Linked DNA regions of Ovis aries. Each later gene encodes a partner of the first gene's protein in a complex. Links are inferred from orthologs where the notes say so. Each region holds a gene or a part of one and is shown in the gene's direction. Other genes may lie near its edges. The genes, in order: SNRPD2, SNW1, USP39, SNRNP200, STRAP, PRPF6 and PLRG1.

What was found.
Region 2: SNRPD2 (region 1) and SNW1 share a complex: the UniProt entries of both Homo sapiens proteins name them as parts of the minor spliceosome. The link is inferred for Ovis aries from reciprocal best matches to the Homo sapiens genes SNRPD2 and SNW1.
Region 3: SNRPD2 (region 1) and USP39 share a complex: the UniProt entries of both Homo sapiens proteins name them as parts of the U4/U6-U5 tri-snRNP complex. The link is inferred for Ovis aries from reciprocal best matches to the Homo sapiens genes SNRPD2 and USP39.
Region 4: SNRPD2 (region 1) and SNRNP200 share a complex: the UniProt entries of both Homo sapiens proteins name them as parts of the U4/U6-U5 tri-snRNP complex. The link is inferred for Ovis aries from reciprocal best matches to the Homo sapiens genes SNRPD2 and SNRNP200.
Region 5: SNRPD2 (region 1) and STRAP share a complex: the UniProt entries of both Homo sapiens proteins name them as parts of the SMN-Sm complex. The link is inferred for Ovis aries from reciprocal best matches to the Homo sapiens genes SNRPD2 and STRAP.
Region 6: SNRPD2 (region 1) and PRPF6 share a complex: the UniProt entries of both Homo sapiens proteins name them as parts of the U4/U6-U5 tri-snRNP complex. The link is inferred for Ovis aries from reciprocal best matches to the Homo sapiens genes SNRPD2 and PRPF6.
Region 7: SNRPD2 (region 1) and PLRG1 share a complex: the UniProt entries of both Homo sapiens proteins name them as parts of the minor spliceosome. The link is inferred for Ovis aries from reciprocal best matches to the Homo sapiens genes SNRPD2 and PLRG1.

What each region holds. Positions count from the first base shown.
Region 1 is NC_056067.1:53,040,584-53,045,355, reverse strand, and holds SNRPD2 (small nuclear ribonucleoprotein Sm D2), read left to right. Parts: upstream 1-1,585; 5' UTR 1,586-1,647; coding exon 1,648-1,649; intron 1,650-3,002; coding exon 3,003-3,182; intron 3,183-4,152; coding exon 4,153-4,327; 3' UTR 4,328-4,419; downstream 4,420-4,772. Other genes in the region: QPCTL (glutaminyl-peptide cyclotransferase-like protein), read right to left, coding at 3-146, 622-831. UniProt on the Homo sapiens protein: Plays a role in pre-mRNA splicing as a core component of the spliceosomal U1, U2, U4 and U5 small nuclear ribonucleoproteins (snRNPs), the building blocks of the spliceosome.
Region 2 is NC_056060.1:87,002,746-87,006,479, reverse strand, and holds the end of SNW1 (SNW domain-containing protein 1), read left to right. Parts: intron 1-430; coding exon 431-548; intron 549-2,121; coding exon 2,122-2,730; 3' UTR 2,731-3,045; downstream 3,046-3,734. Other genes in the region: SLIRP (SRA stem-loop-interacting RNA-binding protein, mitochondrial), read right to left, coding at 3,089-3,160. UniProt on the Homo sapiens protein: Involved in pre-mRNA splicing as component of the spliceosome. As a component of the minor spliceosome, involved in the splicing of U12-type introns in pre-mRNAs.
Region 3 is NC_056056.1:57,489,779-57,493,484, forward strand, and holds part of USP39 (ubiquitin carboxyl-terminal hydrolase 39), read left to right. Parts: intron 1-2,448; exon of another isoform or gene 2,449-2,521; intron 2,522-3,081; coding exon 3,082-3,217; intron 3,218-3,706.
Region 4 is NC_056056.1:104,075,052-104,079,033, forward strand, and holds part of SNRNP200 (U5 small nuclear ribonucleoprotein 200 kDa helicase), read left to right. Parts: intron 1-585; coding exon 586-779; intron 780-992; coding exon 993-1,116; intron 1,117-2,102; coding exon 2,103-2,252; intron 2,253-2,487; coding exon 2,488-2,598; intron 2,599-3,378; coding exon 3,379-3,510; intron 3,511-3,673; coding exon 3,674-3,862; intron 3,863-3,982. UniProt on the Homo sapiens protein: Catalyzes the ATP-dependent unwinding of U4/U6 RNA duplices, an essential step in the assembly of a catalytically active spliceosome. Plays a role in pre-mRNA splicing as a core component of precatalytic, catalytic and postcatalytic spliceosomal complexes.
Region 5 is NC_056056.1:199,646,539-199,650,954, reverse strand, and holds the start of STRAP (serine-threonine kinase receptor-associated protein), read left to right. Parts: upstream 1-1,425; 5' UTR 1,426-1,734; coding exon 1,735-1,846; intron 1,847-2,582; coding exon 2,583-2,718; intron 2,719-4,416. UniProt on the Homo sapiens protein: The SMN complex catalyzes the assembly of small nuclear ribonucleoproteins (snRNPs), the building blocks of the spliceosome, and thereby plays an important role in the splicing of cellular pre-mRNAs.
Region 6 is NC_056066.1:53,567,965-53,572,520, reverse strand, and holds the start of PRPF6 (pre-mRNA-processing factor 6), read left to right. Parts: upstream 1-1,406; 5' UTR 1,407-1,517; coding exon 1,518-1,588; intron 1,589-3,253; coding exon 3,254-3,422; intron 3,423-4,556. UniProt on the Homo sapiens protein: Involved in pre-mRNA splicing as component of the U4/U6-U5 tri-snRNP complex, one of the building blocks of the spliceosome.
Region 7 is NC_056070.1:3,083,475-3,087,456, forward strand, and holds part of PLRG1 (pleiotropic regulator 1), read left to right. Parts: intron 1-218; coding exon 219-327; intron 328-1,295; coding exon 1,296-1,435; intron 1,436-1,884; coding exon 1,885-2,156; 3' UTR 2,157-2,695; coding exon of another isoform or gene 2,696-2,755; 3' UTR 2,756-3,982. UniProt on the Homo sapiens protein: Involved in pre-mRNA splicing as component of the spliceosome. Component of the PRP19-CDC5L complex that forms an integral part of the spliceosome and is required for activating pre-mRNA splicing.

The sequences.
Region 1 (4,772 bases):
ACCTTTCTGACTTGGAGATTGCCCGGGCTGCCCGGAGTCCGTACAACCAGCAGAGGGCGCAGGAAAGTGTTCCAGAGACGGTGAGGGTCCAGTTGCCCCACTACCCTCCGCACCCGAGCTTCGGGGAGGCTTCCGATCAAAGGGCCCTGAGGAAGCAGGTAGGGAAGAGAAGAGCAGAGCATGAAAACGACCCTCATTCCAACCATATCCTGGAGGCTGCCCTCCTCTTCCTAGCCGCAGCCTCCAGCATCAGAGGTTTCTAGAAGTCCCTCCAAACCCATCCTGCGCAGCCCACGGCAATCCTGATGAGGGAAATCAAGGCCCAGCGAGAGGAAGGGACTCTTCCAAATAGCTGCCTTTAGGATTAGAACCCAGAACTCCAAGTCTTACTACTCCAGACTCTCTTACGGGGTAACCGCTATTACAAAACAAGCCCGAAGCCTCATTGCATTGGAAAGGGGTATGCGCTCTAAGAACGGAGACGGCGGCACCTGCAGCTAGGGCCATAAGGTAAAGACAAAGCCAGGTTAACCCAACCTAGGGTCTTCCCCATGAGACCGTGGGGAAGGGGAGGCAAGGAGTAAGGGCTTCCGCAGTGCCCATGTCCCCGCCCGTCCTCACCCGCAGTTCCCGGCCCAGCGGCAGCTCTTCAGTCTGGCTATGCCAGCTGCTCCAAATGGTATAGAACACCAAGGCTACTGTCAGAGCCAGCAGCAGCTGGGGCAACAGCTGTGCCCGCGGTATCAGGCGCCGCTTGGGCGGTGAGGGTCGCTCCAAAAGGCTGCGTTCCCCGACCGGGAGTCGGGGCCGCCCGCGGCCCCCGGAACGCATGGCAGCTTGGCCCTGAAACCGGTCGGAGACGGCGGATAGAGTTAAGGCCGAGCCAAGTCCCGCCCCATGAAATAAGCCAGACCAATGAACAACAAGAGCGGCTGCACCATCCGCCCCCCCCACGAGCAGTAAAGCAAATGGGACTTTCGGCCTGAGGACGCGGCTCCTTGTCTTCAGGGAGCTTTGGGGGTTGGTTCCCCCGGGTTGCACAACCCAAAAGGGAGAGCGTAAGAAGTAGGCGCCGCCTCAGCGCAGGAGGGGAAGCCAATGAGAAGCGTTTGATCACCGAAAACACTAGCCTTACTGGGCGCAAATCCACGCCGCTCCCGGATGGACCCTCTCCCCGGTCCAGAAAAACCAATATACACGTAAATCAACAGTTTCCGAAGGAAAGGGGAGGTGCCCATCCCTGAAGCGAGGAGGGGATTGGCTTCGCCAAGGCCGCGCCCCCAAAGGCAGAGCGGGCGGGCATTTGGAAATGGCTAGTATTCCCCTCTTTCAACCTATGCGGTTCTGCAACAAAATGGTTTTAATCAGTCCCGCCTTCTTTTCCTCTCCATGGTCGTGAATATCTGCCCAGCACTGTCTTGAATGGTGGCCTGGAGCTACTTACTAAGTAAGGCTTCTACTCGGCAGCCTCCGCCGAGGGCGGAGATCGCTATAGCAACGGGCCACGCCCCACTCGCTGGTTGGGTATGCGCAGGCGCGCGCGGAAGTGGGCCGTAGGAAGAGGAAGTCCCGCCTCTGGCTCTCTGTTCGGGAGGCACACCACGGAGGAGACGGTAGTGGCTTGAAAACGCGGTCACCATCATCATCATGTGAGGCCGGGCTGGGTTTGGGTGGCGGCAGTGGGATTGAGGGTGTAAGTTTGGCCACTTACCGGTTGAAGTGGGTAGGCAGAAGTGGGCGCGGAAGCAAACATTTGGGGGTAAAGTGGCGTATCTTTCTACTGATGAGTTGCGAGGGGACGTGGGGCCTTTGAAGGATCCTGACTTCGGGAGCGGGGACAGCTTTATCAGATAACAGGCTGGGCTTTCCCAAATAAGCAATCTTATTGAAGTGAAGTTTAAGAGGAAGCGTTTTTACGAATTAAAAACCTGGGAGATGAGGAGTACGGACTTGTAGGAAAAGCGGTCTTAAGGTAAGAGGCGTAGCTGGAGACAATTGGCTTTTCGATCACATCCGCCATTGGTATGGATAACGAGTTATGGGGATGATTTTACTTATGTAGTCACTCAACAGTTATTTATTGAGTTGTTTGTGTATTAGGCTGCTTTAGACGCATAGCTTATATCACTGAATTACTCCACTCTCCCCAAGGGAAAAAAAATCCTCTTCTACATCTTACGGGATGGGAAGAGGCAGGCAGGAAACGTGCTGGTAATAAATCCGTAAATTCTAGAATGTGTTAGGGAATAGGGTTTTGAATAAAGAAATAACAGAGCAGGGTAAAACAGCGTGGAATGTCTCTTGTGAGAGACAGAACGCATGAAGGAGGCAACACTTGAGCAAAAACCTGAAGAAAGTGAGAAAGCAAACTGCAAAGGTACCTGGGGACGTACCTAGGCAGAGGGAAAAGTGAATAGAGGGGCCCAAGAAGGTTTGCCTGATAGCTTCAAGAACCACTGAAGAGGCCATTGTGCCTGGAACAGAGTGAGGGTAAAAGCTGGGCTTTACTGTTTACACTGAGAGGGTACTCAAGAGTGAGATGATTCTTGACACCACCCTTGAGACTGCTCTGTGGAGGGCGAACTGTTGGGGAGCGTGGGTGGAGGCAAGGAGACCTAGGAAAGATGATGGAGGTTTAAGCCAAGGTAAGAAATTCAGATTCTGATAGGTTTTAGTGGCAGATGGCAGGATTTGCTGACAGATTGAATGTAGGATGTGAGAGAAGAAAGAGTCAAGTTGCTCAAAGAACCAGAGGGATGGAGTCACCACTGACAGAGATGAGGAAGGCTGTGGATAGTATTAAGTTGGGGTTATGGGGGGTCTGGAGTTCAGTCTAGGTCATGCGAGGATTGGAAATATCCATTAGGCATCCAAGTGGTGATAGCAAGAGAGAGGACTGAGTACGAAGAGAGGGATATGTGTCGGGGAGACACCAAGGGAGAGGCCATGAGCACCCAGGCTATGGGCCTGCTCACCTCTGGGTTCCATACTTGTCTTTTCAGGAGTCTCCTCAACAAGCCCAAGAGTGAGATGACCCCAGAGGAGCTGCAGAAGCGGGAGGAGGAGGAGTTTAACACGGGGCCGCTCTCCGTGCTCACGCAGTCAGTCAAAAACAACACTCAAGTGCTCATCAACTGCCGTAACAACAAGAAGCTCCTGGGCCGCGTGAAGGCCTTCGACAGGTGAGCACCAGGGTCTGGGGAGGTATGCTGTCCGGGCCTCAGTTTCCTTACCTGTGAAATATGCGTCATAATAATATCCCTCAGAACAGTAATGAGGCTTCAGTAATACTATGTATGAAAAGCACTTGGCTCAGTACCTAACACATGATAAATGCTCAGTAAACACATGCAGCCTTTAGTTAGCATTTGGGAAGTGCTTTCCTCACCGTAGATTACTATATAGCAAGATACAGAGCTTTCCCAATTTTTTTCTTTTCTTTCTTTCACTCAGTCATAGTTCCCTGTATCCTCCTATTCCTTTGTGTGTGTGCATGAGGGCTAAGTCACTTTGGTTGTGTCTGAATCTGTGCAGCCCTATGGACTGTGGCCCACCAGGCTTCTCTGTCTATGGGATTCTCCAGACAAGACTACTGGAATGGGTTGCCATGCTCTCCTCCAGGGGATCCTCCCAACCCAGGGATTGAATTTGCATCTCTTATGTCTCCTGCATTAGCAGGCAAGTTCTTTACCGCTAGAGCCACCTGGGAAGCCCCCCATCCCTTTACCTTGCGTTAGTTTTTCTTCATAGCACTTACTACCACCTGACAGTATATTACAGGTGTGTTTGTTTACCTGCTTCGTGTTCTCCCTTCACTAGCCTGCAGAGCCCATGAAGACAGGGCTCTTACCTGGTTTTTTTTTCATTGCTCTAATCATTGTAAACGTTTGTTGACCGAGCTATTCCACACTGTCATCACACATGCCCATAAGAAAAATAGTGTGTTGATTCACTTAATTTTCACAACAGCCATAGGAGGCAGGCACCATGAATGTCTCCATTTTAGAGACGAGGAAACTGAGGCGCAGAAGGTGAAGTCCTTTGCCCGAGCCTCGGAGCCCTGGCTCTCCCCCTTCCCAGAGGCAGTGCCGCCCAGAGGAAGGGTCAGGACACACCCCTCACTCAGTCCTGCTGCCTCCCCGTCCCCACCAGGCACTGCAACATGGTGCTGGAGAATGTGAAGGAAATGTGGACGGAGGTCCCCAAGAGCGGCAAGGGCAAGAAGAAGTCCAAGCCAGTCAACAAGGACCGCTACATCTCCAAGATGTTCCTGCGCGGGGACTCTGTCATCGTGGTCCTGAGGAACCCGCTCATCGCTGGCAAGTAGGGCCTCCTCCCTGCTGTCAGAACTTTCCCCCTGGTTTTGCGAAGACCTGCCCTCTGTACTTGAAATAATAAAACTGTGCGTTTTTTCTAGCAGCCTCTGCCTGTTCCCAGGGCCTAGAGAGCAGAACAGACCCCAGAGAGGGGTGGCAGGGTGTGGGGCCAAGCATGGGCTCAGGCCTCTCTGAACAGGTGAAGAGGCCCAGGCTCTGCCCCTTCCAGGCCTTAATTTTCCCATCTTGGGCAGAGAGAGCTCTTGCGGTCTTTTGTGTTTAAACTTTTTTCTACTTTCTCATTGCTTTCTCCTCCTCCTCCCCACCTCTCAGTAAGTCCCTCTCACTCAAAATTTTTTTCACTTTTTTTTTTCTCCCATTTGTTCAAACAGTCTGTGCCCAGCCCTGTGTTGCCATGCTGGGGACACAGCAGAGCCTAGAAAAGCCCCCAATCTG
Region 2 (3,734 bases), on another chromosome or scaffold:
AACTCATAGATAGAACAGACTGGTGGTTACCAGAGAAGGAGGTTGAGGAATTAGTGAAATGGGTGAAGGAGGTCAATTGTATGGTGATTGACAGTAACTACACTTTGGTGGTGATCACTTTGTGTAGTGTTTAGATGTCAAATTATAATGTTGTAGTCCTGTATTTTCCTCAAGGGAAAAAAGAAATCTCTAGCAGTTCTTTTCTGTATCAGGAATGCCTAATTGTAAAACCCTGTCTCTTCCAATAATCATGTATCTGAAATACTATAAGAAATGGCATCCTAATTGTGCCTTATCAAGGAATATATATGTTCATAAGATGTGAACTGGACATATTTATTTCCTCTGCTTCTGATAATGGTTGTATTGAAGTTGAAATTCATCTTGTCTGTGAAGAAGTTTCAATTTGTGGCATGGTATTTCAAAACAGGTCGAAACTACAGAGAAATGAAAATCGAGACATCAGTGAAGTCATTGCTCTTGGCGTGCCCAACCCTCGGACTTCCAATGAAGTTCAGTATGACCAAAGGCTCTTCAACCAATCCAAGGTACACAGAGTCTAGAAATAGCATATCTTTTTTTGTTTTTTTTTAGAAATAGCATATCTTAAGTGTTGATACAAATGACAATTTTCAGGGAAAAGAAAATTAGCATATGAGACATTTGCATCAGCCTAAGGTATGCTGGTGTGATGGGGAAAAAAAAATCAGAAGTTGCATATTGTAACTTAAGAAACAAGTTAGAATAGCTCTTAGAGTTGGCTAGGATTTGAGACACTGTTAGAAAATGAAAGAAATTAGGTAGTAAAACTTGGTTCTGGTATGTGAGTCTTTTATTTCTAGAATAGAGCCAGTGTCCTATAAAAGTGTCTCTTGGGTTATTTTTTGTCGATATTTGCAAAAATAATTTTTTTATGCTATAAAAACACAAACTTGGGATCTTTGAAAAATGAAGCTATAAAACCAAAGTACTCATCAGAAAGTCTGATTTCTAGTATCAGTTGTCATTAACTAGCTAGAACACCTTAGGCCTGAGGCAGTCCCTTTATGTTTTAATTCACCCAACATTGATGATTTACTGTATGTAAGTCAGTGAGATCAAAGGTAGACATGTCTTAACACTCAAGGAACCTGCAAGTCTACTGGAAAAGACAGATACATGTATATAAATAAAGACAAGGCAGACTGTGCTGAGAATACAGAAGTATAAATGTCTTCTGGGGTATAGAGGGGTCCCATCTCCTCCTGCAAGGCTGGGAGTCACCCTGCGGATTGTTCCAGCAAACATGCTGAGAGCATGGTATCCGAGTCACAGCAGGACAGACTCACGGACCCACCAGGGGGGTGACAGGGTACATACGTCCCCAGCACGACTATAACCACATCAGGAGAACCCAGGTCCTCGCCCCTACTCTGCACCAGCTGAGTCAGGGCCTGGCTTCCCGCTTCTAGGCCATAACCATGGTTCAACAGAGACCATGACCCCTCACACCCCAGGATACCGTTTCGTGAATAACAAAGTCTACCTTCGAAACCAAAAAAAAAAAAAAGTTGAGGAAAAGTTTTATCAAAAGGCACATTCTTATATTAACCATCACAAAACAAGTTTGTTGACTTGAGATTTTCATTGAGAATATTGTGTTACACTTCAGTAGTGTTCTCACACAGTTAAGGAGTTTAACATTACTATAAATGGCATCAGATAAAATGCTTTGCAGTTCTTTCATCTTGCCACTGTGTCTGCACAAATGGATTGTCAAGTGCCTGCTTATACTAGTATCCTCCAGTTTTAAAGACCACTTTGCTAAAACAGTCGTTAATGAGTACCATATTTAATGTAAGGACCCAAAGGTGATATGAAGAAAAAAGAGTAACTGTGACCGTTTTTTTTTTTATTGAAGGATAATTGCTTTACAGACTTTTTTGTCAGACCTCAACATGAATCAGCCATAGCTATACATATATCCCCTCCTGTGACCATTTTTTAATAACCTTTTTAATTTGTAGTTCAGATTGTTGAACATGTAAGCTGTAAATGAGCAAGGGTTTACTCTTCCTAAGAATGTAATCTGATTCAACTTATAATAAAAACTTGCATACTTTAATGTCTATTTTTCCACAGGGTATGGACAGTGGTTTTGGATGTGGGGAAGATGAAATTTACAATGTTTATGATCAAGCTTGGAGAGGTGGAAAAGATATGGCCCAGAATATCTACAGGCCCAGTAAAAATCTGGACAAGGACATGTATGGAGATGACCTAGAAGCCAGAATAAAGACTAACAGGTACCAGGGCAGACCGCTCAGTTTTAACATCTACACCAGTGAAAATAAAGTGGTTCATAGCCATTTCTCTTCTTCCCTAGATTTGTTCCCGATAAGGAGTTTTCTGGTTCAGACCGTAGACAAAGAGGCCGAGAAGGACCAGTTCAGTTTGAGGAGGATCCTTTCGGTTTGGACAAATTTTTGGAAGAAGCCAAGCAACACGGTGGCTCTAAAAGACCCTCAGATAGCAGCCGTCCCAAGGAACATGAGCATGAAGGCAAAAAGAGAAGGAAGGAGTAGATACTTTGTTCAGAGTGAACGAACTGTTGTTGATAACCCTAATGATGCAAGTCATATGGGGAACACTTTGTACATGGCCAGGATAAAAACCAAATCTGGGTGTCAGAGCCCAGCACTACTTTTTATTACAGGAGAGGGAGGGGGGTATGGAAAAATTCTACTTTGAATTATTTAGTTTTTTTAAAAATGGGTTGTGTTTGTGCTTCTCCCACCTTTTGGCATTTATAGAAAATACTGCCCCACACGTGAAATTAAGGCCACTTTCAAGAGACATTAGTACTTTGGGGTTAATATTTTGTCTAAAAATGACTGCTTATGAATAAAGTGACCCCAATCACAGCAAGTAGAAAGAAGGATGTTCACATATTGGAACTGTCCTGCCAAATGATGTTTGCCCCTGTTGTGCTGTTGATTTGGAGCGGGGAAAGTAAGCTCTTGCTTGGTGCAGCTATTTGTTTCAAATAAAAACATTTAGACAAAACTTCCTCTCTTTTATTTACTTTATTCAGTAGGCAGTGAGGGTCTCAAAAATCTTTCTCTTCATCAGATGTTTGGTCTCCTTGCAAAGCTTTGGGTTTTTGAGGTTGAACATGGAGCTGGGGGGGGGGGAAATTCAGCACTGTAAGGAAAGTCAATGTCTGCAAAAACATTAAAACTGAAAACTGCTGTTCTATGAGGGATCAGCACCAGTGAGCCAAAGGATGTTATTTGTTCCTTGTACTTAAGGCTCCCTGAACTCCCATTAAAATTTGTAAATCAGTCTAGCCCAAGGTCACATCAGTTCAGTTCAGTTAAGAAGCTCAGAGTAACTGCAGCATGCCAGGGTTCCCTGTCCATCACCAACTCCCAAAGCTTGCTCAAACTCATGTCCATCCAGTTGGTGATGCCATCCAGCCATCTCATCCTCTGTCATCCCCCTCTCCTCCTGCCTTCAATCTTTCCCAGCACCAGGGTCTTTTCTAATGACTCAGTTCTTCGCATCAGGTGACCAAAGTATTGGAGCTTCAGCTTCAGCATCAGTCCTTCCAATGAATATTCAGGACTGATTTCCTTTAGGATGGACTGGTTGGATCTCCTTGCAGTCCAAGGGACTCTCAAAAGAGTCTTCTCAAGGTCACACAGTAAGTGGGAAAGTCAGTATTTCAACCAAGGTCTCCCTGGTGTTTCCAC
Region 3 (3,706 bases), on another chromosome or scaffold:
AAGCTGAGAAGACAGTATGAGAAGCCAGTTCTCAGCAGCTGGCAGGCATTTTGGCTCTCTTGAGCCCTCATCAGTTTCCTCAGACTCCTATCTAAAATGTATTTTAACAGTGGCTGTTGAGGGACTTCCCTGGCATCCAGTGGTTAGGACTCAGCACTTTCACTGTGTTCCACAGCTGGGGAACCGAGATCCTGCAAGCTGCGTGGCAGGGCCAAAAAAAATCCCCAAAGCCCCCAAACAACAATGACTATTTATTGCAATCTATATGGTCGCTGTCAGTTTTTGGAAATAAGTAGCTATCCTTAACACATGGAAAGCTGCATAATATAGTTAGAACAAAGTTGCCTGCTTATTAATACATGGTTTACATTGAGATTTTTTGTATTTTTGGACAGATGATATATTCATAAATTCATAGTGTAAAATTCAAAAGGAGATAACATATCTAGAAATGATCCCTGGATGTGATCACTGTTACCATTTGTAAATCTTTCCAGAGATGATAGTGCTGTGTTTCATGTTATGAGTGGTAGCACAGCAGACGGATCTAGAGATGAGAAAAAGGATATGATCTCTCTTGGGCTTCCCACGTGACACAGTAGTAAAGAATCTCCCTGCCAGTGCAAGAGATGTGGGTTTGATCCTTGGGTTGGAAAGATCCTCTGGAGAAGAGAATGGCAATCCACTCCAGTATTCTTACCTGGAGAATCTCATGGACAGAGGAGCCTGTGGGCTACAGTCCATGGGATCACAGAGTTGGACACAACTGAGTGACTGAGCATACACATACTCTCTCTTATTCTACCATGTATTTACATTTTTATAAATATTTGTAGGTGTCAGAAGGTTATATTTTTCCTGAAAATAGTATAGTTAGCTTTCTCTTAATAGTCATGTTAACTGTCCATCTACTTCCCCATTTGAAAGTTCTTGGTAGTTGTGATTGCCGTCTTCACAGTAAGCCTGTATTATAGTTCTTGACTTCATAAAAACTGGTATACATTTATACCACATTTGTACATCAACAGATGAAACAGAAAAGGAGGTTTTATTCTAAGTACATCAAGAATGCTTCCCTGTGTTTAAAATAATGAGTGTTCAAGTCTTAAAAATAAACTTGATGTTTTTAAGTCCCAATTGAAGGAACCTAGTCAGTAGTCCCTATTGACAACCAGAACTGAGAAATTTGGAAGCTGTGGGGGAGTCAAGGTGGGTTCCATAAAGGAGAGAAAGCTGGATGGGAAAAGGATAAAGCTTTTCAAAGCAGAAAAGAGGGCAGGTAACTCTTGGATCTTGCTGCTTCCCTAGTGCCTGGTTTCTGATGCATTTCCTAGTCTGAAACTTTGAATCAGTTAATCCCCCTTTTGTACTTGGGCTGCCCAAGGTGGATTTCTGTTACTTGTAATCATTTTGCCTACTTGACTAAAGGCAAAATAATCAAATAAACACAGTCTCATAAAATCAAAGAAAAAAACACATCTGAATGATCTGCCTGGTTTGCCGTATGTTAAAAAGCTAATTGATATATTTATTTTGGCTGTGCTAGGTCTTTGTTGCTGTGCATGGGCTTTCCCTAGTTGTGGCAAGCAGGGGCTACTCTGGTTGTGGTGCAGGAGCTTCTCACTGTGGTAACTTCTCTTGTTGTGGAGCATGGGCTCAAGAGCTTCAGTTGCAGCTCGTGGGCTTAGTAGTTGCAGATCACAACTTAGGGGTGGTTTAGTTGCCTGGCAACACGTGGAATCTTCCTGGACCAGGGATTGAACCTGTGTCCCCTGCATTGGCAGGCAGATTCTTAACCACTGGACCACCAGGGAAGTCCTGTTTTGCCACACTGAAATTGTCACAGTGATTGTATACAGTGATAGCTGACATGATCAGGTGAGCAGGCTGCTATAGCCTGAGTCCAGAGACCAGGTACCCCCTGAACACTGCCACTGCAGCCGATTCCCTGACAGAGCAGAGGGTGAGGCGGTTACCCTTGTTCTCATCTCAGAGGAGATGATGACTCTCATTCTCTTATAGAAGAGCCTTAGCTTATGTCACCTGCTTAAACTTACACACAGCTCCGAGGTGACAGAGCCTCGATTCCAGCTCAGGTCTGAATGACTCCAAGCTGTGTGCTTCAGACTGCTAGGTATGCATTAATTTTTATTTTTGAATATTTTTTTGTCCATGCCTCGTGGCTTGAAGGATTGTAGTTCCCCAATCAGGGATTGAACTAGGGCCCTTGGCAGTGAAATCATGGAGTCCAACCACAAGACCACGAGGCATGACTCCCCTAGGCATGCTTTTATTTATTTATTTTTAAATTTTTAATTAAAAATATTATTTATTTGGCTGTGCAGGGTTTTAGTTGCAGCATGCAGGATCTTTCAGTTGTAGGATCTTTCAGTTGCAGGATCTTTAGCTGCAGCATGCAATCTCTTAGTTGTGGCATGTGGGATCTAGTTCCCTGACCAGGGTTGGAACCCGGGCCCCCTGCATTGGGAGTGCAGAGTCTTAGCCACTGGACCACCAGGAATGTCTCTGAGCATGCTTTTTAAAAATTAATTAATTTATGGTTGCACTGGTCTTTATTGCTGCATGTGGGCTTTCTCTAGTTGCAGTGAGAGGGGGTCTACTCTTTAGTTGCGGTGGGCCGACTACTCACTTTCGTAGTTCTCTTGCATAGTACAGGCTCTAGGGCACCTGGGCTTCAGTAGTTGAGGCCTGTGGGCTCAATAGTTGTGGCACACAGGCTTAGTTGCTCCGCGGCTTGTGGGATTTTCCCAAACCAGGGATTGAACCTGTGTCTCCTACATTGACAGGCGGATTCTTTCCCACTGAGCCACCTGGGAAGCCCTAGGCATGCTTTTAAAATATGCTTTTCCCATAGAGCCAGTCCTCCTAGTTAGACCCATTTTTGTGGCAAACTATAAATATCCACAAACCTGGGCTCCCTAGCTATTCAAGCCCACCTAGACCCAAGTTCCCGAAATAGGGTTCCACAGCTTCGTGGTCCATTTAGGGAGGACAGTTAACCTCTACAGGGCAAACTTCATAGGATTTGTCTGATCTTCACTTTATTTTCCTCATTCTCAGAAATGTGGACCTGAGAGAGTATTTGTCTGAAGAAGTGCAGGCAGTGCACAAGAATACCACCTATGACCTCATCGCCAACATTGTACACGACGGCAAACCCTCCGAGGGCTCCTACCGGATCCACGTGCTCCATCATGTGAGTAGGGCTGACTTCTCACTGTGCAGAGTGGCAGAAGCCGGTGGTATTCCCTTGGCCTTTTGGAAGGCAGCTCCTTTCAGTTTGCTCTTTCTTGTCCTTGATTTTGGGATTCTGTGAGAAACAGTTGTCAGTGACCGGTTTAGGGCAACTGTTCTCAATTTTGGCTGCACGTGGGACTTCCCGGGGTGCAGGTTTTAGACTGCTGAAGCCTGGGCCATCCCAGACCAGTTACGTGAAAACTGTAATTTGTGCCTGTTGATTTTCCATTGGGGCAGAGGCCAGAGATGCTGCTGAATATCTTCCAATGCACAGGCAGCCCCCACAGGCAGCAAAGAGTTTTCTGGTCCAAAATGTTGGAGTTAAGACTTGATTAGATTATCTGGAGGTGAGACCCAGGCATCTTGATAGTTTTAAAATTCTCAGATTTCCAGTATGTAGCCAGATTGAGAAGCACTGTCCTAGACTAGCACCTGCCACCAAAAGTGC
Region 4 (3,982 bases), on another chromosome or scaffold:
TCAAAGTCTTGTTAGAAATTCAAAGTCCCTTGCCGTGCTCCCACCTAAGAGCCTGCTACTCAAAGTCTTGTTAGAAATTCAAAGTCCCTTGCCGTGCTCCCACCTACTGAAATACAGTCTGCATTTCAGTAAGGTCTCCATATGCTTTGAATGCCTGCTGAGATTTGGGATGCACCGCCTTTATTCTTTATTTGATACATCATATTGTTTGCTCTTGGTAAAGATAACTGCCTAGAGGTGAAACTTAATCTGATACAAATTTGGTCTCATCAGAAGCTTCATTTTTAGTAAAGAAATCTATCTTTGAGGTGAGCTAGGAATTCATTTACCCAAGTGTCAGATTTCTCTGACCGTAACGCATTGTTCACTGAACTGGAGCAAAGCGGCTCATGCTCAGAGCACGTTTGCTGGGATGTTTCACGGTGAATGCTGTCTCATCCTTTGAGGTCCCCTGGCTTGGGATCCCTTTTCTTGTCTTCTTCATTTGCAATGGTAGTTATGTACTTGGAAAACGGGACTACTCTCAGGAAAGGGGCCCTCATTTCTCTGGTCCCAAAGGTAATTTGCCGCCCTCCCATCCCTCAGGATGAGATCCATCTTCTCCACGATGACAGAGGTCCTGTCCTAGAAGCGCTGGTGGCCAGGGCCATCCGGAACATCGAGATGACCCAGGAGGATGTCCGCCTCATTGGCCTCAGCGCCACCCTCCCCAACTATGAAGACGTGGCCACCTTTCTGCGTGTAGATCCTGCCAAGGGCCTCTTCTACTTTGACAACAGGTGAAAGAGGAGACGGGAAGAAGTTAAGCAGGGTGGCCTTCCTGATGTCTTGCTTCTCTGCCAAGGAGCTCTGTTAGATTCGAGCTTTAGAATGGCCCTGGTTTTGATGTGGTACAAATCCTAAAAGAGGCCCGTCACTCCCTGGCAGTGAAAAGGACTTTTTATTCAGTGCTTTGTGCCAAAGTCTTACTGATTTGACTGTTCAACTTCTAGCTTCCGCCCAGTGCCTCTAGAACAGACATATGTGGGCATCACGGAGAAGAAAGCCATCAAGCGTTTCCAAATCATGAATGAAATTGTCTATGAGAAAATCATGGAACATGCTGGAAAAAATCAGGTCTGTCATGGTTTCTTGTCACTCCTGACCTCTTTGAATTTTTGACTTACTGATAATTGGGCAGCGCTGATAGAGACAAAGAAAAAAACAAAGCAAATCACCAGTACCAGAAATGCAATGGGATATTGCTACAGAATCCCTTACCTTTGACTTTGAAAGGCTGCTAAAGGAATACTGTGAATAGCCTCGCACTTAAATTTGACAACCTTGGAGAAGTGGGCTAGTCTCAGAAACTACCAATTAGCAAGACAGCCTTGAAGAAGTGGGTAAAACATGAATAGTCCTATGACCATTAAGCTGAGCCTGTGGTTATAAAACGCCCAGAAAAGGAATCCCCTCGCACAGATAAGCAGTCTGTCCATCTAGATCATCAGGGGTTCTTCCATGAAAGATTTGAGTGGCTTACACTAAAAATATTCTAAAAATCAAAATAAAAATGGAAACTTAGTGAAAGGGCATTTTGCTGGATAGTGTGATGTAATTTTTTAGTTGAACACTGTGTATTTTGTCTCATAAGAAAGAAGCATAAGGATTTAGAGGAAGAGACGAATCTTTCCTTGGCAAGAAAGACTTGGACGGCTTTTATTTCCTGCAAATGGTGCTAGTTTTCTACTAAGTCCACTTACATAGACCAGTGCCCGTTATGTTTCTTAACTGTTTAGAATCTCATCAGATACCTGAACACAAATTTTTAATCGAGACTCCTGAATTCTCATCTATAGTATATTTAAACTTGTTATTAAAGACAAAGTGTTAGGAGTTAGTTGGGTTTCCTAGCAACAGGGTCCTCGTCATGAGCCAGATTTGTTTGCTTAGGGTCTTGAGGGCTCCGTTAGGCTTCCATGCGCTCCTGCCATCTCCCCACTTCAAGACCTCAGTCTCTGGCCTGCTAGTGGTGCAGCCTCTGCTCCCTGCTGCCGACTCCCCGGGCCGGGGGTGGGGGGTGGCTGTTGGAGCGGTGCCCCTTGACTGTGGCCCCTCTGCAGGTGCTGGTGTTTGTGCACTCCCGGAAGGAGACCGGGAAGACGGCCAGGGCCATCCGGGACATGTGCCTGGAGAAGGACACGCTGGGTCTCTTTCTGAGAGAGGGCTCGGCCTCCACAGAGGTTCTCCGGACAGAAGCTGAGCAGTGCAAGGTGAGGGGGTTAGGCCCGGGTCCCTCATTCCTCCCCGGTCGCTGGCTCAGTCCGCATCGGCCGGGCCGTCCTCCAGGGCTGCCTGGCGGTACTGCTTCACGGGGCAGAGTGTGACTGCCTGTGTCTCTGTGGACTGTGCGAGGAGCAGCGTCTTGGCTGAGGAGATTTGCTTCCTCTCCAGGAGAGTCCCCTCTGGCAGGCTCACTTCCTCACCTGTTCTTTCTCTTCTGCCCAGAACCTGGAGCTGAAGGACCTGCTGCCCTATGGCTTTGCTATCCATCACGCGGGCATGACCAGAGTTGACCGGACACTTGTCGAGGACCTCTTCGCGGATAAACACATCCAGGTGAGGGTGGGCAGAGCTCAGGCGAGGAGACTGGAAACGCTGGGCACTGGGCCGCGTGCTCATGCCTGGCGCTTTGTTGTTTCTGGCCCGGGTGGCCCAGGTCAGAGGGCTATGGTAGGTACAGTCAGTGGAACTTCACACCGCCTCTCCCAGCTCTTCCCATCATACGTGAGGGAAGCTGAGGAAGTTTAGGAAAGCGTCTGAGAAGCACAGCAAAGCCAGGATGTGGGTGACTCCAGATACTGTCACACAAGGCCCATAAAGTCAGGACCTTGTTCATTCCTTCTCTCAGGAGAGTCTGTAGTTTTAATTGTCTAGTAACCTTGATTTGGGCTTCCCTGGTGGCTCAGATGGTAAAGAATCCACCCACAATGTGGGAGACCTGGGTTCAGTCCCTGAGTTGGGAAGATCCCCTGGTGGAGGGCATGGCAACCCACTTCAGTATTCTTGCCTGGAGAAACTCATGGACAGAGGAGCCTGGCGGGCTGCAGTCCATCGGGTCACAAAGAATTGGATACGACTGAGTGACTAAGCACAACCTTGATTCAGATAGGTCTGCATTACTGCCTCTTTAAGTGTCTCTAGAGCCTTGAAATGTTGATTCTGGAAGAGATGAGGAACCCAAAGACTCCTTTCCTCTTCACTCTGATGTTTCATTGACAAGTACGGGACCAACCTCAGTCCTACTAGACGCCCTGAGTCAGGTGCCTAGAGAAGTTGAGGATAGGTACCCTTGGTGGCAAGGTCTGATTTTCTTATTGCCTTGCCTTGGGTCTGTAGGTTTTAGTTTCCACAGCAACCCTGGCTTGGGGTGTGAATCTCCCTGCCCACACCGTCATCATCAAAGGCACCCAGGTGTACAGTCCGGAGAAGGGCCGCTGGACTGAACTAGGCGCGCTGGACATCCTGCAAGTATGGAGCTTCTGAGTTTATTCTTACGGGAAAAGCATGCTGTGTATAAGATGCCAGCATACCCCAAAGGTGGCAGGTGGAGGGTGAGGTTTGTGGTGTAGGAGCCTGGAGTCAGGAGCTGGAAGCTCTGAGCCATGGCCCTCTGGTTGCTGTCTCCACCCAGATGCTGGGACGAGCAGGCCGGCCGCAGTACGACACCAAGGGCGAAGGCATCCTCATCACCTCCCATGGGGAACTGCAGTACTACCTGTCGCTGCTCAACCAGCAGCTTCCCATTGAGAGCCAGATGGTGTCCAAGCTGCCCGACATGCTCAACGCCGAGGTCGTGCTGGGGAATGTGCAGAACGCAAAGGTGGGCAGCCTCTGGCCTTTTCCAGAGGGGCCGGGGCGTCGGCACCCGGGCCCTCCAGCCCTGGGCGCCACATCCTCCGTGTAAGCGTGCTTTCAGGCTTCTCGGGTCTGCGACAGGTTC
Region 5 (4,416 bases), on another chromosome or scaffold:
ATCACTGCAGATGGTTATTGCAGCCATGAAATTAAAAGACACTTTACTCCTTGGAAGGAAAGTTATGACTAACCTAGACAGCATACTAAAAAGCAGAGACATTACTTTGTCAACAAAGGTCCACCTAGTCAAGGCTATGGTTTTTCCTGTGGTCATGTATGGATGTGAGAGATCGACTATAAAGAAAGCTGAGCGCTGAAGAATTGATGCTTTTGAACTGTGGTGTTGGAGAAGACTCTTGAGAGTTCCTTGAACTTCAAGGAGATCCAACCAGTCCATCATAAAGGAGATCGGTCCTAAGTGTTCATTGGAAGGACTGATGTTGAAGCTGAAACTCCAACACTTTGGCCACCTGATGTGAAGAACTGACTCATTAAAAAAGCCCTGATGATGGGAAAGATTGAAGGCAGGAGGAAAAGGGAACGACAGAGGATGAGATGGTTGGATGGCATCACCGAGTCAATGGACATGAGTTTGTGTAAACTCCGGGAGTTGGTGATGGACAGGGAGGCCTGGTGTGCTGCAGTCCATGGGGCTGGAAAGAGTTGCACACGACTGAGCAACTGAACTGAACTTACAAATTATTATCCGTATACTGGGAATGGGAACTCAAGCTTTACTGGTGTATTTCATCAAAGAATTTGAGGATCACTGTTCTAGAGTCCTTCGAAGGCCTCAAAAGAAAAAGTAATTGGAAATTAATTGTATTCAAAGTCACAGGACTTCCCTGGTGGCTCAGACGGTAAAGCGTCTGTCTACAATGTGGGAGACCCGGGCTCGATCCCTGGGTTGGGAAGATCCCCTGGCGAAGGAAATGACATAGGAGCCTGGTAGGCTACAGTCCATGGGGTCGAACGAGAGTCGAACACGACTGAGCGACTTCACTTTCACTTAAAGTCACAGAGCCCGTTCAAAATACTAGCAATGGAGAAATGTTACGTGGCTGGGGAACGTACTTAAGGGCCCTGGAGACAATCCCGGAGGAGGTTTCTTATATAACTGTTAGGAATGAAAAAAAGTTCCTACTGTTTGCAGGTTTGGGTCATCGCCGGAAACAACTAGAGGTAGATGTTCACACACCCAGCACAGTTCAACCGCCTGAACGGCTTGGTGCACAACCCACAGAGGCCGCCAGGTTCAAGTGAGCAGTACCCGCTTTCGCACCTGGCAACTCTGCCCAGAAACTCCATGGCCACTGCCGTTCTGGAGTGAGAGCTCAGAGATCCGCGCCCCCACTTTGAACCAGAGCCAAAAGCTCCGCCAGAAGCCGTGCGTACAGGCGGGGGCCAGCGTCAGGCGTCCACCGTACGTGCTCTCGCGCCGGCGCGCTGCCGTCTTCGCGCCTGTATGCAGCTTCTGCGGGGCGAATCCGCCTTCCCGCTACTTCGTCACTTCCGGCGGACGCTCAGCGTCTTTCGTGTCGTCACTTCCTGTCGGTACCGGTGTGGACGGTACGGGTCGTGGCCGCCCGTTCTCCGCTTCTCCCCTTCCCCTACTCTCCTCCCTCCTTCCCTTTCCCTCCCTCGGCGGCGGTCGGTCTCCCGTCGCGGACTCCCTGACCCGTCCCTAACCCCTTCCTGACCTTGGGGCCACCGGATTGGCCTTTTTCTGTGCCTTGGCCCAGCGTCAGTATCGGGGCGGGGGCCTTGAAGAGCCGGAGGCGCTGCCACAGAGGAGAGAAAAGACTAGACGACCCCTCGGCTCTGCAGCGCGATCTCTCGGCTCGCCGCCGCCATGGCGATGAGGCAGACGCCGCTCACCTGCTCCGGCCACACGCGGCCTGTGGTGGATCTGGCCTTCAGTGGCATCACGCCTTATGGCTATTTTCTAATCAGCGCTTGCAAAGGTGAGCGGGGCCGCTAGTCGGGCCCCTGATGACTGAGGTCGGGCGGAAAGCGAACGAGGTTGGCATCCCCATTGCGGAACGAACTGCGGCTCTCGCAGCGTTTGAGGTTAGGGCCCCACGGCGGGCTGATGGGGAGAGGAGTAGTTGTTAGGACTTCCGCAGCTGACGCCGAGAGGCTTTGCTAAGTAATGCCCCTAAAGAAGGCTTCTCGTTTTACCTTTATTGCTATTTTTGGAAAAGCTGAACTGTGCGCGTGCCTAAACGTCCCGGCCAACAAACAGTGTAAATATCTCTCAAGGATTTGGCAGAATGCAGCAACTAGGCCAGGCCTTACTTTACGAAGACTTAGCGTTCCTGTTATCTTATTGAATAGTCTCTTCTCGTATGGAATTTTTCACTTCCGTTTTCCACCTTTCAAGTGGAAGCTGTGTGTGTGGGTGTGTGATCGAAGCTGAGATTTGTGTTAAGAAGTTTGTCCAAAATAAGACTCAAATCTAGATTGTTTTGACGCAGGTCAATCTTCACCTAGTTACAGATGCTTCCCAGAGAGAATGTGCAGCTGGGTTTCTCATTGAATTTATTTCTGAACAATCCTTAGTGACCCCAGTGAGTGAGAATAGTTCAGACAACAAAAACAGTTTCCACTTTGTTTTTCAATATGATCGTTTTATGTTTGAGTCTTAGATTTTAAGTCCTCCGAACTTCTAAGTCGCATGTCTTCTTCAATATTTTTTAGATGGTAAGCCTATGCTTCGCCAGGGAGATACAGGAGACTGGATTGGAACATTTTTGGGTCATAAGGGTGCCGTTTGGGGCGCAACATTGAATAAAGATGCCACCAAGGCAGCGACAGCCGCTGCAGATTTCACAGCGTAAGTGCAGCCAGAAATGGCCACCTTCGGAGTTCTCTGTGGATTGTGCTCTGAAATGATCAAAACGTTGTTAAAGGTTACTCGTGAAATTCTTACTGCCTACCATATGGAACACCCCGTGTTTGATCGCACCAGAATTCCAGCCTGATCCTACTTGCTTCTTTCTCTTAAATGGTTCTCAGACTGTTCACAGAGACTCAAATGACTTCATTTTGTGTAGGGGTGAAATCTAAATTGTTGATTTTCCCCTTGCATCTAGATTATCGTCATCTTTGTTGACTGCACTAGCAGAATGTCTGCTGATGCCGTTATTTCTTATGCCACTGCCATCTTAGTTCAGGTCCCTACCACTAGTCGTTTCTCATCTGTTCATCCTCCCTGGTGCTATCAGTTTTCCTGAACACAAATATCAGGTCACTTCTCTAGCTAATGCTTTTCCTGTCTTAACTCTGGTTTGTCAGAGATCCATGACCTTGGGCATACATTATTAGAAGCTTTTAAAATACTCATATAAGTATGGGTCTGGGTGGGGGTGGGGGGGCTGTAAAGTCCCCAACAACAGTTTATTTCCTTGCTAGAAGTTCTTCTAGGTGATTCTGATGTGCAGCCTTTAATCATCGGCCTAAAGGTTAAATTTCAGTTGTTGCCTCTTTACACTTTGGCCCATCCTAGTTCACCATCATCATCTGCCCTGCACACCCCGTGCCCCACAGTCTGGTTATACTCATTGTTGACAGAAGGGACCTTACTTACTCTGATTTTTGGCTTTGCATATATTATTAAGCTGACTTGCCAATGACCCACTTTCCTGTCTGCTCATGTGTGTCATGTCCTACATAACCTTGGTACCTCTACTTCCTAATGTTTATGACTTAGCAGACACTTAAATGTTTAAAGGAAGGCAATGTCAAGGGTTATTGTACATGTGTAGACTGTTAGAGTTGAGAGTCTTGAGAGTGAAAGAGGTTTTTAAAAATTGGTTTTTTTAAACAGAATTTTACACTAAAGAGCAATTGTGAATGTGTTTGTTGTGCCTTTGTATTAAGCAAATTAAACATACTAGGTTTATTATGAAAAATAAAGGCAGATTGATTGAGGTGGTGCATACATGACTGTATTTGTTGAAACTTGTAGAGCTCTGTGCCGTGGAGTGAGTTTTACAATACATAATTTTTTTTTAATAGAATTTTTAAATAAACAGAGGGAGATACAATCCCATGCTGATGTGGGATTAAATTTGAGATGATAGATCAGTAAGAAAAATTAAAATGTCAGTTTGAACTTTTTTCTTTGCCTTCAAAGAATAGATGTTGTTATGTTTATGCATAACCATTGTAAGGGTTTGTGCTCTGCCCTATTGTGAGTCTATGCAATTCTGATAAAATAAGGAACTGCTTGGTTTTATGTAAATCCTTTAATGTCAAATGTTGGTTTAGAGGTCGGCATGCATGCTTATAATGTGACAGACTCCTTTGTTAATTATGGGATGTGAAAAATAGGAAGTAAAAGTGCTTCTCATACAAGGAAGATTTGTGGAGGACTGGAAGGTGAGGGTGGAGAAGGCAGTGGCAACCCACTCCAGTACTCTTGCCTGGAAAATCCCATGGACGAAGGAGCCTGGTAGGCTGCAGTCCATGGGGTCACTAAGAGTTGGGCGCGACTGAATGACTTCACTTTCACTTTTCACTTCATGCATTG
Region 6 (4,556 bases), on another chromosome or scaffold:
GGCGCGCGGATCTGCAAGCGCGGAGGGCGGCTGCCAGGGCAAGGGGCGGCCGTGCGCACCTGGGCATGAGTCCAAGAACGAGTGACTCTGTGCAGTTGCACGGCGTCCAGGTGTCCGCAGGAGCACCTGAGGCAGGGACCGAAAGGGGAAAGGGTTCTACTTTCTCCTGGGACCCTCTGCCCTCTGGGGCTACGGTCAATGGCCAGACCCACCCCTCCCCTCCATTCTCCTATGTCAGTTTACTTACCCATTCCTTTATTCATGCATTCTGCAGACCTCTACGGAGGTCTCCCTTGGAATGGGCACTTGTTTCCCAGAGAAGCCAGTTTGACCGTCTCAGCCCGCACCAACACTGTGAACTTCAGGAGGACATCAGGGTCTCTTCCCTGCCTTCTGTTACTCTGGAATCTGACTCAGTGCCCAGGACGTGGTGTCAAAAAGGGGTCGGCTGGGGACAGACAGGAGAGAGAAACTCCGAGGAGGCTGCAGCAGGCAGATGCATTGTGCTTGCTTCGGAACTCCAGTGAGAAGTGATAGGTTGGGCTAGCAGCTGCCTCTTCCAGTAGAAGGCTAGACTCGTGACCAGCTTTTTGCCTGCTCTGCCAACAACCTGATGGCTCTCCCCAGGTATATGTGGGGGCCAGAGAATGTTCCACAGCCTTCTCAGCAAAGGTGCACATGGACACTCAGACATGTATGCAGGACAGTCCTGCATGTCCACCTCAAATGAGTACAGATGGTCTGACTTGCATCTGTGCCTACGAACACACAAGGAATCCACCCACATGTTGTGACCACCCATGCCCACATACTGGCTTGTTCTGCTGCATTTATTTTCATCAATTAACTCTTTAGGGTCTGGGTTCTGACCCTCTCCGGAGTCACAGGGATGTTCAGGGTATAGTTGGGGTGTGGGAAGGGCCCGAATTGGGCCCAGAAATCTGAGCGTTGAGAGCCAGGGCAGTAGACTGCACATGGGGGCACAGCGATCGCGACACATACAACCCACCAAGCTCTACACAACGGCCTAGGTGTGCAGCTCGTTCAGGTGTGTTAGGCCCTGACCCAGGGCCAGGACGATTCTGAAGGGCAAAGTGTGTGGCTCAGGGAAGAAAAGGACCCTGCTAGTACAAGAAGAGGTCCGGATAGTACAGGAAGGTCTCAGAAATGCATCGAGAACAGGCTGTAAGCAGGGCCGCCCCTGCTCAGTTCGGAGATCTCACAGGGCTAGCCCAGCAAGACACGGTTCGCCCGCGGGGCCAGGAACCGGCGTTCCCGCGCACGCGCTCTGCGTCTCCGCCCCTTAGCCGAAGCTGCCGGGAGTCTTGTTTCGTGAACTTCCGCCCGGGGAATCCACGGTGGGCGGGGCTGCGTCGTACGGGGTGTTCTGCTTCCGGGGCAAGGGTGACGCAGGCGGCAATTGCTTCCTGCGGCGGAACTTAAAAGATTCTGTGGTGGTTCGCTTCTGGCCGCGGCCAGGGTCTTTCACATTCTTGGCCTTTGGTGTCACCGGCGCCATGAACAAGAAGAAGAAGCCGTTCTTGGGCATGCCCGCCCCTCTCGGCTACGTGCCGGGGCTGGGCCGAGGGTGAGGCCTGGAGCTGGCCGCGCGCTGAGGGAAGGGGCCTGGGTCGGGGCGCTCGCCGACGGCTACTGGGAGGACGAGAGCAGGGAAGGTTTGGGGTCAGTCTGATCCTTGTGGGAAGAACAGCGCGTTGGATCAGGGCAGACCCGAGGGAGGTTGTCTGGCCCGAGGTGGCGGGACGGTTGGAGTTGGTGCGCCGGCTCTGAGCCCGATTTCAGTCCCCAGGGTGGGTGGTAGCACAGTCTTGCCACTCTGCAGTGGTGAGGTCGCGAGTCCCCGTCATGTAGTCGGAGTGCCATGGCTACTTTAACCCCTGGGCCATTCGGACTTCCCAGCCCTGTCTCGAGCGTGACAGATTTTCTTCCCACGAGCCGGGCTGGAGTCCTCTGTTTGGCCGCTCCCCGTGGTACCTCATTCACCTCTGAGGTGCTGCTGGTCATATTGCTGCTTCTTCAGAGTCTCTACTCCCTGAGGGTAGGGGTGGCATTGGTGAGTCTTGGGACTGCGTCCCCCAGGTCAGGTGCCTACCGTATATTGTTGAATAAATGAGCAATCATCATCCTATTTGTTTGTTACTCATTTGGTCAAGAAGACTATTGGGTTTCTCTTTTGCGAGTATTATATCCAGCGTTATGCACGTTAGAATCTGGGGCGCACATTGGACTTGCAGTTTAACAGGAGAGATGAGGTATTTGTGTAAATAAGTACATAAAGAGAAAGCAACCAGCCACCAACATCTGAGCCAAGTTTTGAAGGAGGATGTAAGGGTGTACAGTTGTGGCAAGGTCAAAGAAGAAACTGACCCGTTGTGTTGGGCAGTTGAGAAAGAAGATGAAGTGTGGAGGAAGAAGAGGGAATTACAAGGAATCTGTGTGGGTGGAACTGCAGGAGCAGAGGGACCAGAGCCCCTGTAGGCATAAGTGAGGCAGATGCCTCAGTATACTGTGCTCAGAGCTGCTTTGAAGCAGAAGGAGAGCTACATGTGGGGGTAGCCAGAATGGGAGGAGGGATTTTGGCGGTAGAGCCTGTAGAATTTGGAGACAGATGGGAGGGTTGTTGTTCAGTTGCTCAGTCGTGTCCGACTCTTTGCCACTCTGTGGACTGCAGCACGCCAGTCTTCCCTGTCCTTCACCATCTCCCAGAGCTTGCTCACGCTCATGTCCATTGTCAGTGATGCCATCCAATCATCTCATCCTCTTATCATCCCCTTCGCCTCCTGCCTTCAATTTTTCCCAGCATCAGGGTGTTTTCTAATGAGATGAGAGGGAGAAGGAAGCAAAGTTGATGCTGTTGTGCCTGGGGGAGCACTGTCACCATTGACTGAAACAACTCTGAGCAGCTGTAGGGTGGGCACAGAGTAGGAACTCTGACTGGGCCACATAGGATTGAGGACCTGGTGGATTGGGAGAGAGGGCTGATTGGCAGGCTGTTGGAAACGGGAGGCTGGGACCTAGAAGAAGGGAGGTCTAGTGCCCAGACGAATCTCGGAAACTCCTTAGGTTTTTCTCTTGAAGAGGGCAGACAGGCGGTGTGTGAGAGCAAAGCTGTATGGAGTTTTTCTCCGGGCTCTTTGAAGATTTCCCAGAGGAGTTAGAAAAAGGTGTCATTAGGTGACAGCTGTTAAGCGTCTTGGCACAGGATAAATGGGCGCCTTGGGGTTTCCTGCAGCGCCACTGGTTTCACCACCCGCTCAGACATCGGGCCTGCTCGGGATGCCAACGATCCTGTGGATGACCGCCATGCGCCCCCAGGCAAGAGGACTGTTGGGGACCAGATGAAGAAGAGCCAGGCTGCAGATGACGATGATGAGGATCTTAATGACACCAATTATGATGAGGTGACTTGTGTGGGACACTGTGCTGTGGGCATTTGATGAGGGGCTTGGAGTAATGGGTATATTGACTGTTTTAGCTACTCAAGGTTAGGGGACAGCGTGTACAGAGTGTGAGGGGGAGCAGGACAAATACAACGAAATGTGCCCTTTTGTGGTTGCTTCAGAAGAGATGCACTTGCTAATATTAGAACTGTCACACTGACGTATCTTGGCTGGTCTTTAAAGATGAAAATTTTTTTCTGAAACTAATTTTTCTTATTCTTTTTTGGGGGCTGTGCTGGGTCTTCATTGCTGCACGAACTTTCTTTAGTTGTGGCAAACAGAGGCTACTCTCCAGTTGCAGTGGGAAGGCTTCTCATGTAGTGGCTTCAGTTGTTGCAGTTCCCGGGCTCTCCAGCACAGGCTTAAGAGTTGTGCTTGGGCTGCTTGCTCTGAGACATGTGGGATCTTCCTGGATCAGGGATTAAACCCATGTCACCTGCATTGGCAGGTGGATTTCTTCACCACTGAGCCACCAGGAAAGCCCTTATGAGGGGAATTATAAGTGGAGTTGCTGGTAATGTTTGTCTTCATTTGCGTTAGTTCTCATCTTTCTAGTTAATTCTTGTTTGGTCTATGAGGTTTTCTATAGATATATTACAACAGATGGTATTTTTCCTCAGAGGAAAAGGTTTTTAAAATTTTAATTTTGAAATAAAAAAATAAAAATTTAATTTTGAAATAATTTTAAAGTTATAGAGATGTTTCAAAAATAGTATGGAGACTTCCTGCATATCCTTCACAGTTTCTCCTCATCTCGCTTAGAGTTGGACTGATCGACTTCACTTTTACTTTTCACTTTCATGCTTTGGAGAAGGAAATGGCAACCCACTCCAATGTTCTTGCCTGGAGAATCCCAGGGACTGGGGAGCCTGGTGGGCTCCCGTCTATGGGGTCGCACAGAGTCGGAGACGACTAAAGCGACTTAGCAGCAGCAGCAGTACTATTATTGTGTTTTTTTTAAATTTACTTATTTATTCTTGGTCGTGCAGCACGGCATGTGTGATCTGAGTTCCCCAACCAGGGACTGAACCAGCACCCTCTGCTTGGCGGTGCATTGGAAACCACTGGACCACCAGGGAAAGTCCTATTTTTATT
Region 7 (3,982 bases), on another chromosome or scaffold:
TTGTCTTCACAGTTGTTCTGGCTCTTCAGATTAAGCGTTGATTACATTTAATAATTAAAATCAACCAGGTATTTTGAAAGAATAGAAAGCAGTTAGTCAAAGGTTGATAGGACTTTTGTTTTATATATATGTGTCTGTAGAAGAATGCTTCAGGTTTTATTATATTTACCTTTTGCATTCTTTTTTTCTGGTCTGTATTTTGGGGATTCTCCTTACAGGAAGCCATGATACTACAATACGATTATGGGATTTGGTGGCTGGAAAAACAAGAGTCACATTAACAAATCACAAAAAATCAGTCAGAGCTGTGGTTTTACATCCAAGACAGTAAGTCTGTTTTCCTAAGTAGCTTCTCTTCTTCCTTCAATTCTTAGTATAATTTAGAAATAGCAAAATTAGTACTACTTTGGTAGTCATTTAGTCATTTTTCCGACCTGTTCCATTTATGAGCTTGCATTTCCTTTATTTTCCTTGTGAAGTATTTTTCTTGTCCTCCATAAGATGAGGAAAACTTTCTACATAGTGAAAAATTATGTCAAATGAGATAATATAAATAAATCATGGTGACAGGCTGCATGTTGTAATGGAAGCTAATAGTTGCTAGATTTAAAGTTTTGGACAAAAATATTATTGGACACTGGACTGAACATAGAATAGTTAATTTCATCATGAAGAAATTAATATACATAGGAAAAAAATAGTAGGTATCATGAACATCATTCACAGAGAGATGTAGCATAACATCACAACCTGCTGTCTATAAAACCGTGTCCCCTGGTACTCCCAAGGTCTCCTGCCTATCCTCCCTCCTCACCCTCCCTGCATTTATCTTGTCTCCTCCTTCCGATCCCTGTCTCGCTCACTCCCTTTCTTCCTCTCCCTGACTCCCTTTTCTCTTCCTCTTGCCTCTTTCTCTCCTTCTCTCACGTCTTCTCTCTCCCTTCTTCTGGCTTTCTCGTTTTCTCCAAAACACTTAAATCACCCCTTGCCCTTCATGTGAGTTTAGGGGGTTATATGTTTATTGCTTTAGCTCAGTGTAGAGCACTGGGGAAATGAGAGGAGAATATAACTTCAATCTAGGACTTATCATACATTTAAAGTAATTTAGAAATCTGATATAACTTGGAACAGATCTTTTTATCTTGATATTTTTATCTTGGTATGACGATAATATTTTGCCAAAACTACATAAATCCTGATGATACATGCAAAATATAGCCATAATAAGATTTTTTAAAAATCCACCATTGTATTTAACTTTGTTTGCTTTATTATTAATTCTTTTCTTATTTCAGTTACACATTTGCATCTGGTTCTCCAGATAACATAAAACAGTGGAAATTCCCAGATGGAAGTTTCATTCAAAATCTTTCTGGTCACAATGCTATTATTAACACATTGACAGTAAATTCTGATGGAGTGCTTGTATCTGGAGGTAAAGTATTTTTATGATAAATATGTTTTAGTCTATCTTTTTTTTTAAGTGAGTAAAATTTCTAAGTCATTACACTGACGTATTAGAATAGAACTTGCCTGTTTAACATGTGTATTCATGCAAATTCATAATACATATAGCATATTTCATAGGTCAATTCTCTTTAAGTTCCCGCATTGATAAATCTAAGTTAAGGATTTATGCCAGAAATCACCTAAAGTTTGGTTGTGTGTTTTGAAGTTAAATGTCATTTTGTGGTGCTTTTTGAGATCTATAATAAATTATGAATTAAGCACAAATGAAAGTAGACAAATTGATATTAAGAGGAGCTCAAGTGCCTGTGTGTCTTTATAACTCCATGGTGCTTGGCTGATGATGGGTTCTTAATAAGTGTTTGTCAGGCTGAACTGTTGAGGGGACACTTGGTCTAACCTGTCTTTCCCTTTAAGCTGACAATGGCACTATGCATCTCTGGGACTGGAGAACTGGCTACAATTTCCAGAGGGTTCATGCAGCAGTGCAGCCTGGGTCTTTGGACAGTGAGTCAGGAATATTTGCTTGTGCTTTTGATCAGTCTGAAAGTCGATTACTAACTGCTGAAGCTGATAAAACCATAAAAGTGTACAAAGAGGATGATACAGCGGTAAGTTCTGTATTTCATAGATATTTTAAAGTAGAAAAAATCAGCTTTGCCAATTTTCCAGGCATTTTCTCATTTTAAAACTATTGAAATTATCAGGAGGGGAAATAATCTTCATAATACTAAAATATTTGTCATGTTGAATAGTGTCTGCTCGTAGATTGTTGCATTGGTTTTATTGATGACAGCAAATCCGTAGATAATTTTGATTGTATCTCAACTTTGCTTATTAGAGTTATTAAGAAAATCTTATCCTAAGAATAACAGCAAAAAAATAGATTGCTATGCAAATTAACTCTAGAATCAGAATCTTAGGTATTACTAGAATATCTAAAAACCATTAGATTTAAAATGAAACACCATAAACTGAATTTGTAGCAAATGCATTCATCCTTTATTAAATATTAAATATTATTTATCTTAATATTTATTATATAATAAATAATCAGATAGTGCCAGAAGTTCGTCACCTATCTTAAAATTGTTAAAGAACTGCTAAATGTGTAATGCCAAGTAATATAATTTAGAATAAGTGCCTTATTTTTGTTAGAAAGGAACTTATTAAATATGAAGGAGATCAGTAATACTTTGTTTTAACTTACTTACTTTTCTGTTTTTAGACAGAAGAAACTCATCCAGTCAGCTGGAAGCCAGAAATTATTAAGAGAAAGAGATTTTGATGTGTTCGTTGTCATTGCAGTTTTTGTTTTTTTGTTTCGTTTTAGCTTGGCCTTGATGAGAATATCCAGTCATTTGTGCTCTGGCTAGGAATATAAAGCAAAAACTCATGCTTGAATCATTGCATTTTCATATTTTACAATGAACTGTCCTTCCCCATGTTTTTATTTCTAAAATTAACAGTTTGAGATCCTAGGAAGTAAGATGTAGATATCAAGCATATGTGAGTTTTTTGACTGTAACTATCCTAAACAGAATGATTTGCCACTTCTATTAAAACACACCCCATTTTTTTTAACTTACAAAACTGCTTACTATAGTAGGACATGTTTTGAGGGGAGTAATCTTTCTCTTAAACCCTTAAATACTGGTATCTGTGATTGATATTTTGGGATTAAAGGATTTTGAAGTCTTATGTATGTTTATCTCACCAACAGTTTTTGAGCGCATGTTCTGCAAAGTTCTGCACTAGGTACTGTTCAGAAAGTATACAGATAAGATGTGTCTGTCCTTTAAGACTTCCACTTTTAGCAGCTTACTACAGAAATACTGTCATAGAAGTGCCAGTGAAAAACCAGGATAACACAGAGGAAGAGCCCATTTATTTTCCTTGGGAAGGATTGTGGAAGACTTCATGGAGTCAGTGGTGTTTGAGGTGAGTCTTGAGAGGTCACAGAAAGAAAGGGTATTCTAAGGCAAAGTGTGAGCTGAAAAACCAGACATATGAGAGGTGTATGTTCCAGGAACAGAGAGCTGTCTGCTGCACTTGAATGAGAACAGCTGGTGGCGGCAGGGAAAGCTTGTGTTTTGAGTTTCAGTTTTATTCCACAAGCAGTAGGTTACTAATATAGGTATCAAACCCTGGAGAAGTAACTGGAGATACCGATTGTTTGAAGCTATAGCAAGGGTTGCAGTCTTTTGCAGAGACTCCATGGAAAAGTTTAAATTTTTGATGCCTGTGCCTCTGTCCTTAGGATCCTCATTCCCTATCAGTCAAGATAATTTGTCACACTTCACTTTCTATAGTTAGAAAACACACTTATAAGAACAATCAGTTTATAGTTTCAAATGAAGAAATTAAACCATAATTTTGAATAAGCATTTCCAAATATACGTGTCCCATCTTGCATGCTGTAGGTGGGAGTGTAGTTGTTAAGCCTTTAGGGAGGGTAGTTTTCCAGAGTATATTGAAAATGCTTGGAATCTTTGGCCAACTCTTCATTAGAAAT